Linked DNA regions of Nothobranchius furzeri. The protein of the gene in region 2 interacts with the protein of the main gene of each other region in a pairwise test. Links are inferred from orthologs where the notes say so. Each region holds a gene or a part of one and is shown on either strand. Other genes may lie near its edges.

Region 1 (5,804 bases), on a different chromosome or scaffold from region 2:
CAAAGAATACATAGCTCCACCCACTCCTGCCATCATACATTGGACCTTGTTCTGACTTATGGCATTGAGTGTGAGGAAATAACGATCTTTCCACATAATCCAGTCCTCTCGGACCACTTTCTGATAACCTTTGAGTTTTTTATAACTGAGTTCTCGAGACATGAAAGTAAATTTCATTATAGTCGGTCTCTATCTGACAACGCAGTTGCGTCTTTTAAAGCAACTGTTCAATCTTTACTGTCCTCAGCATCTCAGAGGCATGTAGCAGAGGGCAATATTCTCAGTTCTAGCCCCTCACAAATTGATGCCTTAGTTCATCATGTTAATTCCTCTTTACGTGTGGCATTAGATGATGTTGCCCCTTTAAAAAAGAAGGTAATTAGGGACAGGAAGTTGGCTCCCTGGTTTAACCTCATCTACGAGCCTTAAAACAAAACTCTAGGAAATTGGAGAGAACATGGCGCTCTACGCACCATGAGGACGCCTACCTATCCTGGAAAAATAGTCTTGTGCTTTATAAAAATAAGCTTCAACAAACTAGAACTGCTTATTTCTCAGCATTAATTGAGGAGAATAAGCATAATCCTAAATTTCTTTTCAGTACAGTTGCTAAACTTACACAGAATCATAGCTCTGAACCATCTATTCCCTTAGCCCTCAGCAGCAATGACTTCATGGGGTTTTTTACAAGTAAAATTAATTCTATTATAAACAAAATCTTAAGCATCCTCCCTAATGCGATTTCTTCTTCCTCAGTAAGTGAGGCAGCATCAGAGGTGACTGTAGAACCTCATCTGTGCTTGAACCGTTCTGATCCAGTTGAGCTTTCAGAGTTATCAAAAATATTAGCTTCATCTAAACCTTCAACTTGCATTTTGGATCCAATCCCAACCAAATTATTTAAAGAAGCATTTCCTTTGATTACATCTAGAATGGGGGCAGTAACCAATCTATCCTTAGTAAATGGGTATGTACCACAAGATTTTAAGGTTGCTGTAATCAAACCTTCACTTAAGAAGCCTTCTCTGGATCCAGATGACCCAATGAATTATAGACCAGTATCTAACCTTCCATTTTTATCCACAGTCCTGGAGAAAATAGTGGCCATCCAAGTATGTGAGCATTTAAACACTAATGCTCTGTTTGAGGAATTTCAGTCTGGTTTTAGAGAGTATCACAGCACTGAAACTGCATTAGTGAGAGTTACAAATGATATTCTCATGGCCTCAGATAAGAATCTTGTGTCTGTTCTAGTCTTGTTAGATCTCAGTGCTGCCTTTGACACAGTTGATCACAATGTTCTTTTAGAAAGACTTGAACATGTTGTAGGGATCAAAGGAACAGCGTTAGGCTGGTTTAAATCCTACCTGTCTGACAGATTTCATTTTGTAAATGTACATGACAAATCTTCTTCATACTCCAGGGTTACTTGTGGAGTACCACAGGGTTCAGTGCTTGGACCAATTCTTTTTACTATATATATGCTCCCAATTGGTAAAATCATTAGACAACATGGGATAAATCTCCACTGTTATGCTGACGATACCCAGTTATATTCATCCATTAACTCTGATGAACCTAATCGGTTGGGTAGATTACAGGCTTGTCTTGAGGACATACAAAATTGGATGACTCAAAACGTTTTGCTTTTAAATCAAGACAAGACGGAAGTTTTCATCTTTGGTCCTGAAATTCAGAAAAGGATTGCTTAGTCAATCACCTGACCTGAATGGCATTACATTAATCTCCGAGAACAAAGTAAGGAACCTTTGTGTTATCTTTGACCGGGACATGTCATTCAAATCCCACCTTAAGCAGGTTTGTAAGATTTCCTTTTTCCACCTTCGGAATATTGCTAAGATGAGAAGCATACTTTCCAGGAGTGATGCTGAAAAACTAGTTCCTGCATTTATTACATCAAGACTGGATTACTGTAATTCATTACTCTCAGGAAGTCCACAGAATGTAGTTAAAAGTCTTCAGCTTGTCCAAAATGCTGCAGCTGGAGTTCTGATGAGAATTAAAAAGAGAGATCATATCTCTCCTGTCTTAGCTTCCCTACATTGGCTACCTGTTAAATTCAGAATAGATTTTAAGATCCTTCTTCTCACATATAAAGCTCTTAATAATCAAGCTCCATCATACATCAGTGATCTGATTGTTCCATACGTTCCTAACCGAGCACTTCACTCTCAGACTGAAGGTCTACTGGTGGTTCCCAGAATATCTAAAATTATGATGGGAGGCAGATCTTTTAGTTATCAGGCTCCTCTCCTGTGGAACCAGCTCCCAGTCTTAGTCCGTGAGGCAGACACCTTGTCTACTTTTAAGAATAGGCTTAAAACATTTTTTATTTGATAGGGCCTATGGTTAAAATCTGATGTTAGCCTAAATAAGGACAAGTGGGGGAGTAGAGGGAGGTGGAGTGTACAGTCGGTAAAGACGGCTCTCCCTTGCCCTGCCTCCAATATGCCTCATTCTAAAAAGGCTAGGTTATCCAGAGTTATCTCTGTAGTTATGCTGCTATAGGCTTAGACTGCTGGAGGATACAATGACCACTTTCCACACTCACCTACTTTGTTCTACAATCTGCCCTTTAACTGTATTACTTCCTGCTATTTCAGCTGTTAACTTTATTTTCTCTCTAAGTGTTTTTCTCCCCAGAAGAAGCTACAATGATGTTCTGCTGAGCTGTGGTGGCCTCATGGAGGGGGCCATCGTCTAGCACACTGCTGCTAACCACTTAAACATTCTCCCTCTCCTGATAACTTTTTACTCTCTTTGATGTTGGATGTGCTACTACTAGTTTACCCGTTTAATTATAGATCCACTAGGATAAATACAATAAAGTTTATCTCTCACCAAATAGAATATTTACTAAGACATCACAATGTAACCACAGAATCAGAAACTTTTTTCTGATTGGCTTAATGAATTGACCTGTATTGGAATGGTTATTATGTGAAGTACCTTGAGACGACTCTTGTCGCGATTAGGCCCTATATAAATAAACTTGAATTTAATTAAATTAAAAGTTTAAATACATGAGGAGCTGGGACCTTGAGTGATTGGAAGACAAGAGGCAAGTGGGAGCAATTAACATGGACACAGAACTGAACGGAAACTGGGGAGACAAGACAAACTGTGACACATACATTGGTGATCTTAGTCCCTACACCCCCAGCATGTCCATGAGTTCCAGTGACCAAAGCCTACTGGTTGTGGAGCACCAGGCTAAAGACCAAAGGTGACAGATCATCTGCTGCTGTGGCCCCCAGACTCTGAACCTCTCTCCCCCTGAGCCTGAGATCAGTGGACTCAGTGGTCTCCTTTAAACTCACCCGTTAAGGCTTTGGTGGGACCTTCAACACCACCACCTTGTTCTTATTCTGCCTTTCCTGGAATCCACTGATTTCCCTCTTTCCTATAAAATTTCTCTCTCCCTTTCCATTATATATTTAATATAATGTTTACTTTTTTCTTTAATTTTAAACATATTTTTATTCTTTTTTTTTTACTTTTTAAATTTTATTAAATTTTTTTGTGAAGCTCCTCGTGATTTTTATGTTGAGAGGTGCTAAACTGTTCTGGGTCTTATTTTGAAAAGTCGAAGCGGAAATTACGTCTCTTCAGTTTCCGATGTTTCGTTTTCACTGATAGGAGAGAATTTCATGTTCTATTATAATGTGAGCTTTTCTCGGTTTACCTGTGAAGTTCTGGGACTTTCTGAAGATAACCCGCAGGTTTCACTAACTACCCGTCCAGGTTAGTTAGCTAGCTTGTCTCGTGCTACGCAGCAAATACGAAACGTTTGATATGAAAGGAAAACGAAATCGTCATTTTCCAGAAGCGATCGTTTATTTTACAGCACTGTCGTGCGTGCTTATTTCGTTATTATTATTGGAACCGTAATCTAACAGATTTTCATGACACTTCTTTGTTCGTAAGCTTTTTGGATAAACCTGTGAGTCTCTTACATGGTGGAGGTTGGAGTGTGACTAAAGGTGTGGACAGAAGTTGGTGCCATTCCCATGTAAACATTCTGTGCTTTAGGCGCATTTATTCATCTATAAGAACCGATTTTGGTTGGAATCCTGAATCTGAGGTTTAAAGTTCAGTTGCTATAAGTTGAACATGTTTTTTATGTAAGTAGAGGTCATGTGATCTTACGGAAGCCGGTGTGTTTTGTTTATTTCAGACAACATGAAGCTACGGGTCCGGATCAACAAGCAGACCAGCAGGGTGGACTTACCTGGAGAAGAACCCACTCTCACAGAACTCTCAGATGTCATCAAGCAGACACTGCTGACTTCTACTGGACTTGGGTCAGACTTCCGGATGGATCCATTTATTCTCTTTTTCTTGTCTCTTAACCAGCGTGTGTCCCAACGGCTCAATGCTCCGTTTTCTTCATCTCCTTTCAGTCTGAACACAGAATTCAGCTTGTCTCTGAACGGCTCTGAGCTTCTGTTGGACTCTGGTCAGACCCTGTCTTCCTTTGGGATCGTTTCTGGAGATCTGATCTGTGTGCTGCTCCGGCAGCCTCCAGCAGTCGCCGTGACCTCAGGGGAAACCAGCTCCACAGCCCCAATAACTGACGATCAGCAGACCGCCACTCAGGTGAGCTCACAGTGACGCAAAAGTGGGTACGCAGTGTATGCGACACATGGGGCGCCAAAGCAATGATGCAAGAACATTTTAGTCTGACGTTCCTCTGTTTAATAACAGCCGTGTTCTTGTCCATTTGTGTATCTGCTAATTATATCATTAATAAGAGAGAAGCACATCAGTGATTAGGCGCCCCTCCGCTTGTTAACCCCCCACACCAAAACAGCGCTCTGCCACCACACCACTACACTCTGGGGTTGGAGTAGATGGTTTTATACACGAGCCACAGAAGTTGTGCGTTTATTTATTTAAACGTTGTAGAAGCTAGTCGCACTAATGGAGCCCAGCTCTGGTGTCACAATGAGAGCTAACGTGAGCAGCTCCTGTCTAACGGGGACGGCGGGTGGAACCAGGCCCCAACTGGGGAAATTCCCGATGGCCCGGTTGAGTTCAGTGTTGTTGTTTTTTGGGCTGGTGTCACTCTAGATCACCTGCTGCTGATGAGAGGAGCTCTCCTGTCAGGCACTGGTGAGCTGCTGCCAACCCAAACCCAACCAGCTTCTGCTCCTAGGAACACGTTCTAGCTCAGACTGTAGTGACCTGTTATTTATAGTTTATAATTAATGTTAGGTATATTCCACAGCTGATGGAAAATGAGATTAAATAACCTGAACATGTTCTCCCACAGCTCAGCTCTGTTAGAAATGAGCAGATGTCTGCTTCAGCTGGACTACATCAAGTAGAAAAGTGTCCACAGATAACTGATCTTTAAACTTTAATATTGATTTTATTTCATTTCTAAGGTCTGGATGTCTGTGAACTAGGGCTGGGGGTAAACGATTATTTTTAAAACGATTATTCTGACGATTATTTTATCGAATAGTCGACTATTCTAATGATTATTTAGACGATTAATCTAACGATTATTTTTCTATTGCACAATTACTAAAAACCAGAAAATCTCAAATAAATTCCTCAAAAAACTTGATAAATGGTTACTGTAAGAGAATAAACACTACAGGCCTTCCATCTTGTATAACACTGCTTTTATTGTGTTGGTTGGTTATGTTCTGGTGACATGTAGAACGTGGGAGTGCAGGCTGCTGCCTGAGAGGTGGTAGAAGATGGAGTGTCTTCATGCTGCTTTGTTTTGGTCACTTATGAGTGTGAGGCGAGTGGTGTTACGACCCTTCCTG
Region 2 (4,291 bases):
AATCATTCCTGTCAGACACCACTTCAAATGCATTGATTAAATGAGTTTCCCACACTTCTAAAACCTGTGACATAAGGAGGTGATTCCATTACACAAATGTAGAAAAACGGGAAGTCTTTCCAAACAATGTATGACATCAACTGATAAAATGTTTTAGCAAGTGATTTATATTTTATAAGACAAGTTGTCAATGAGACAGGAGTTATTGTGTTATTTTAATCTTCTATTTTGTGGACTTACATTTATTCACATTGACAAGTAACTTATTTCATTTGAACCATTTACATTTATTAATCTGTATTTAATAATGTAGAGAGGCCAGAATGTGAGAAAAACAAAGTATCATCTGTAAAGAGTTAAAGTTTCAGTTTTTTTTTTATTTATTTTTTGCAGTGTGTTCAAAGACATGGAGGGTTTGTCACAGATGGTGACGGCTCAGCTGCTGCCTCCCCAGAAGAAGGAGACGGAACAGAAAACAGAGAGGAAGAGTAGAAGAGATGAAGAAGATGAGGCACAAAGAAGAAGGGAAGAAGGCAGCAGCCCTCTCCGTATGCCCGGCGGACATCCTCACCAGGGAACACAGCCTCACTGGTTGGTCGTCACATACAGCTGATCAGTATTCTTCTCACATAAATTCAGAAACTGGTCTTATATAGTAACCTTGACCTGAAAGCTAAAACTGCCCAAATTATACAAACCAGACAGACAGAACAGTCACTCACTCCTCTTCGTCCTCCGTCCTGGTCAGATGAGAAGCGAGGTGATGTCAACAGCACTTTATTGACCTCATGCTGTCGCCTCCCCGCTCCTTGAGAGATGGAGTGTCAAGGGGGATTAGGAAGGACAAGGACTTGATTATGGCTAGACAAAAAAGATGAGAAGATGAGAGGCTGAAGTGAGGAGAAAACAGAGAAGTGGAAGAGAAATGAAGACATGATGAATGTGTAGACTGGGTTCGCTGCTGAGGGAGATGTTAGAAAGACGAGTGTGCACAGGGAGCAGAGGAGGAGGAGGTGATAGGACCAATACAGAACAGATGAAGGTTGGATAGAACATATAGAACATTTAAAAATACAGTATAGTACAGGGAAACGGAGTAATATTCTCCTGTTTGAATTTACCATCAGTCAAACACGGTGCTCAGTTTCTGGGTCGCTGACAATGCTCTAAAAATAAAGATTTGCATTTATAGTAAACTTTTATGATCAGCAACTGAAATTCTCTTTCCCAAAACTAAAGCACAGCGTTCTTTGTCTCATATTCAGATCTTATAATACATTGTCTCAAATTTCTGCCAAATGTGGCTGTTTTTGTTCCAAAGATGCTTAAAGCCATCTCTTCACATCCTGATTTCCCTGGAGTCTGCTGTGGAAATCCCAGCCGGCTGGAACTCTGTTGTTTTACTTCAGTGTTCTGATTAGTTTGTTAGAAAACAACAAAGCTAAGGCTATCTACTGAATATGTGCTAAAAAGTGGTATTAAAAGATCAAAAATTACACTCAACAGCCTTAAAATAAGTTATGTTTATCGCAAGAAAAGCAACAAAAGGTTTTTAAGAAATATTGGCAAATTTTAACCATAAAGGAAGTTATAAATATGCTAGATTTTAAATAGTTTCATGTTTGTTTTATAATTATTTTATTTTTAGGTTAAAGAAACCAGACTGACGTCTGTGCTTTTGTTTCTTTTCAGGCCCAATCCTTTGGATCCTCCGTTTGCAGTTGGAGGAGCAGACCTGGATCCTTTTGGGTGAGTCATATCATCCCTCAGTCCTAATTATTTTAGTGTTCTCTCAGAAAAAAAGGTATTAGCAAGACTCCGAAATAATCTGTATATTTTTAAGGAAAATTTAATGTCTTAACCCTGACTGGGGGCTCGGAGTAGAGCCGCTGCTCCTCTGCATCGATTCGAGCATCCAAGGTGGCCTCCCCCTGGAGGTTTTCCGGGCCCGTCTGGAAAGACCCAGAGCCCACTGTAGGTATTGTATCTATCCTGTCTGGCGTAGGAATATTTTGGGATTCCACAAAGAGAGCTGGGGACAGGAACGTCCAGGCTTCCCATATGGACCTGACGCCCCAGTGACTGGACCTCAGATAAGCGGAACAAGATGGATCCATGGATGGATCTTGGCACTTGACTAATTCAAACTGTATATTAAAATGTTTTTGACAACATTCATAAAGCATTTCTTTACTCACCTTCTAGAATTATGTTGGATTATAGTATCTTCACATACTTTTTCTCTGTCTCATTGTTCTTCTTGCCCGGTGTTCTGTTTTTGTTCATTTATTTCACCTTTAATATAAAACTCTAATCTCTGCTCTTGAAGGATTACTAATCTTTAGAATAAAAGACCAGTTGTTGGAGTTCATGCCGGTATAATCCAATCTCAGGTATAAGCCAATTTCACTCTGTAATTAAAACAGTTAGTTTGCTTTTAAACCGTCTTCTAACATCCATCCGTCATTTTTTGTTCCAATTTTTGTATTTGAGCTCAAAAATAACAAGGAAACAAAATTAATTTTATCCCCCCCAGAACTCGTGGTGGCGGCGGGATGATAGTCGACCCGTTGAGGTCGGGGTATCCTCGCTCCGGCTTTGACCCGTCTAGCGGCATACCAGACATCCTGCCTCCTGGAGCCGTTCCCCCAGGAGCGCGCTTCGACCCGTTTGGACCCATCGGACGTCACAGACCAGGGTGAGACGCAAACGATGCTCAGCAGACGACAACCTTGGGCTGACTTCTGGGTTCGCCCCAGAAAACGGATGCTTCAGATACATTTTTAGTTCTTTCTACAGTTTCTGGACTTTTTGTTCAGATTAAACTAAGAGAAACCAGAAGAGTAATGACAGCTTTCTGACTGCTTTCTCCTCTTTGCCTCGTTTTTAGGCCAGATCCAGACCACATGCCCCCACCTGGCTACGATGACATGTTCATGTAGTGCCCACCCGTGTTTCCTGCTTTTCAACTTTCTGCTTGCTACTGATCTAAAACTGGATCCAGTTCAGAGACCTGAAAGTTTCAATCTGCTCTGAAGAGGAGGGTTATTCTTCTCATTCCTCCACTCACACAACATTAAAACTTTGATTCGACTCACAGAAGAACCCGTTAGTGATGTAAAATATTAAGTCTGATTTTTAAAGAAACTTTAGTAAAAACAAAAAATCAGATTATTGTGGTAAACATGTTCATCTTAGACTCCTAGTTTCTTGTGACCTTCATTATTCTGAATAGCGATCACACTCCGTAACTGCTTTTGAAGGACAAACAGCTCAACATGCTGACAGAACAATATGGCTTTATAATTATTTCCTGCAAAAAGTTCAAATAAAAATGACTTTGAACCCTGTCGTGTTGCTGTTTTAAGCATTTCCTTTTATTTACTTCACACATTAGCAGCTTTCTATCCAAAGAGGGTTTCTCAGCTTTGCTTCTTAGAGGAAAAGTAAAAATGACCTTCAGTCCTAAATGGTCTAAATGGGAAGTTAAGATGAAGAGGTAAACTAAAAGAAGAAGAAATGGATGAAGATTATTATTTTTATTATTATTACATGGCTTTTTAAATTAAAATCACAAGTGCAATAAAATTATTTAAAAACCAACAGTGCTGTCACCAGCATGCTAGTACTTTTATTTATTTCAGGACCATAAAATCAACATTTTATGTTGAGGACGTCCCTTTAAACAAAGAAAGTTGGTGAGGATGACCTGAATGCTTCATCCTCTGAGAAGCATGAACGACCGAGTTAAGAGAAACACACCATAACAACCAGCTCTCAGTATGTTTATTGATCTGGAATCATATGTGAGTCTGTAGTTTCCCTCAGCATCATAATTTCCCATTTTCAGTGTGACCTACTAAACCTGATGAGGTTTCCATCGTCCGTTGCACAAAGGTGGCTGAACTTTTTTCATCTACATAAAACCCAGTGAATATATAAAAAACAAAGATGATTGGTTTAATAATCCAGTCACTGCAAATGTCTAAACTTTTGTGGATTTAAAAATTAACCTTTGTACAGGATTATAAACAGTGGTTTGTCTATCATGATGATTCATATCATTAAGAAGTTATATAAGCAAATTGTCACCAGAATCAGTTCAATTCAAAAATATTTTGTTAATCCCAGAGGGAAAATGATTGCTGTAGTAGCTCATAATAATAATAATAATCAAGTCGTTAAAGAGTTGTTGTATATTACAATGGCTGTTGGCAGGAAGGATCTCCAGTAGCGGTCAGTGTTGCAGCGAAACTGAAGAAGCCTCTGACTGAAGACACTGTTCCGTTGT

The links. The genes of interacting proteins can lie anywhere in the genome.
Region 1: the proteins of psmf1 (region 2) and fbxo7 interact in binary tests that used the Homo sapiens proteins (3 or more experiments, as listed by UniProt). The link is inferred for Nothobranchius furzeri from reciprocal best matches to the Homo sapiens genes PSMF1 and FBXO7.

Annotation. Positions count from the first base shown.
Region 1 is NC_091741.1:31,396,136-31,401,939, reverse strand, and holds the start of fbxo7 (F-box only protein 7), read left to right. Parts: upstream 1-2,554; 5' UTR 2,555-3,671; coding exon 3,672-3,765; intron 3,766-3,803; exon of another isoform or gene 3,804-4,004; intron 4,005-4,198; coding exon 4,199-4,325; intron 4,326-4,424; coding exon 4,425-4,620; intron 4,621-5,804. UniProt on the Homo sapiens protein: Substrate recognition component of a SCF (SKP1-CUL1-F-box protein) E3 ubiquitin-protein ligase complex which mediates the ubiquitination and subsequent proteasomal degradation of target proteins and plays a role in several biological processes such as cell cycle, cell proliferation, or maintenance of chromosome stability.
Region 2 is NC_091743.1:68,639,765-68,644,055, reverse strand, and holds the end of psmf1 (proteasome inhibitor PI31 subunit), read left to right. Parts: intron 1-393; coding exon 394-591; intron 592-1,692; coding exon 1,693-1,749; intron 1,750-2,536; coding exon 2,537-2,698; intron 2,699-2,890; coding exon 2,891-2,942; 3' UTR 2,943-3,350; downstream 3,351-4,291. UniProt on the Homo sapiens protein: Plays an important role in control of proteasome function. Inhibits the hydrolysis of protein and peptide substrates by the 20S proteasome. Also inhibits the activation of the proteasome by the proteasome regulatory proteins PA700 and PA28.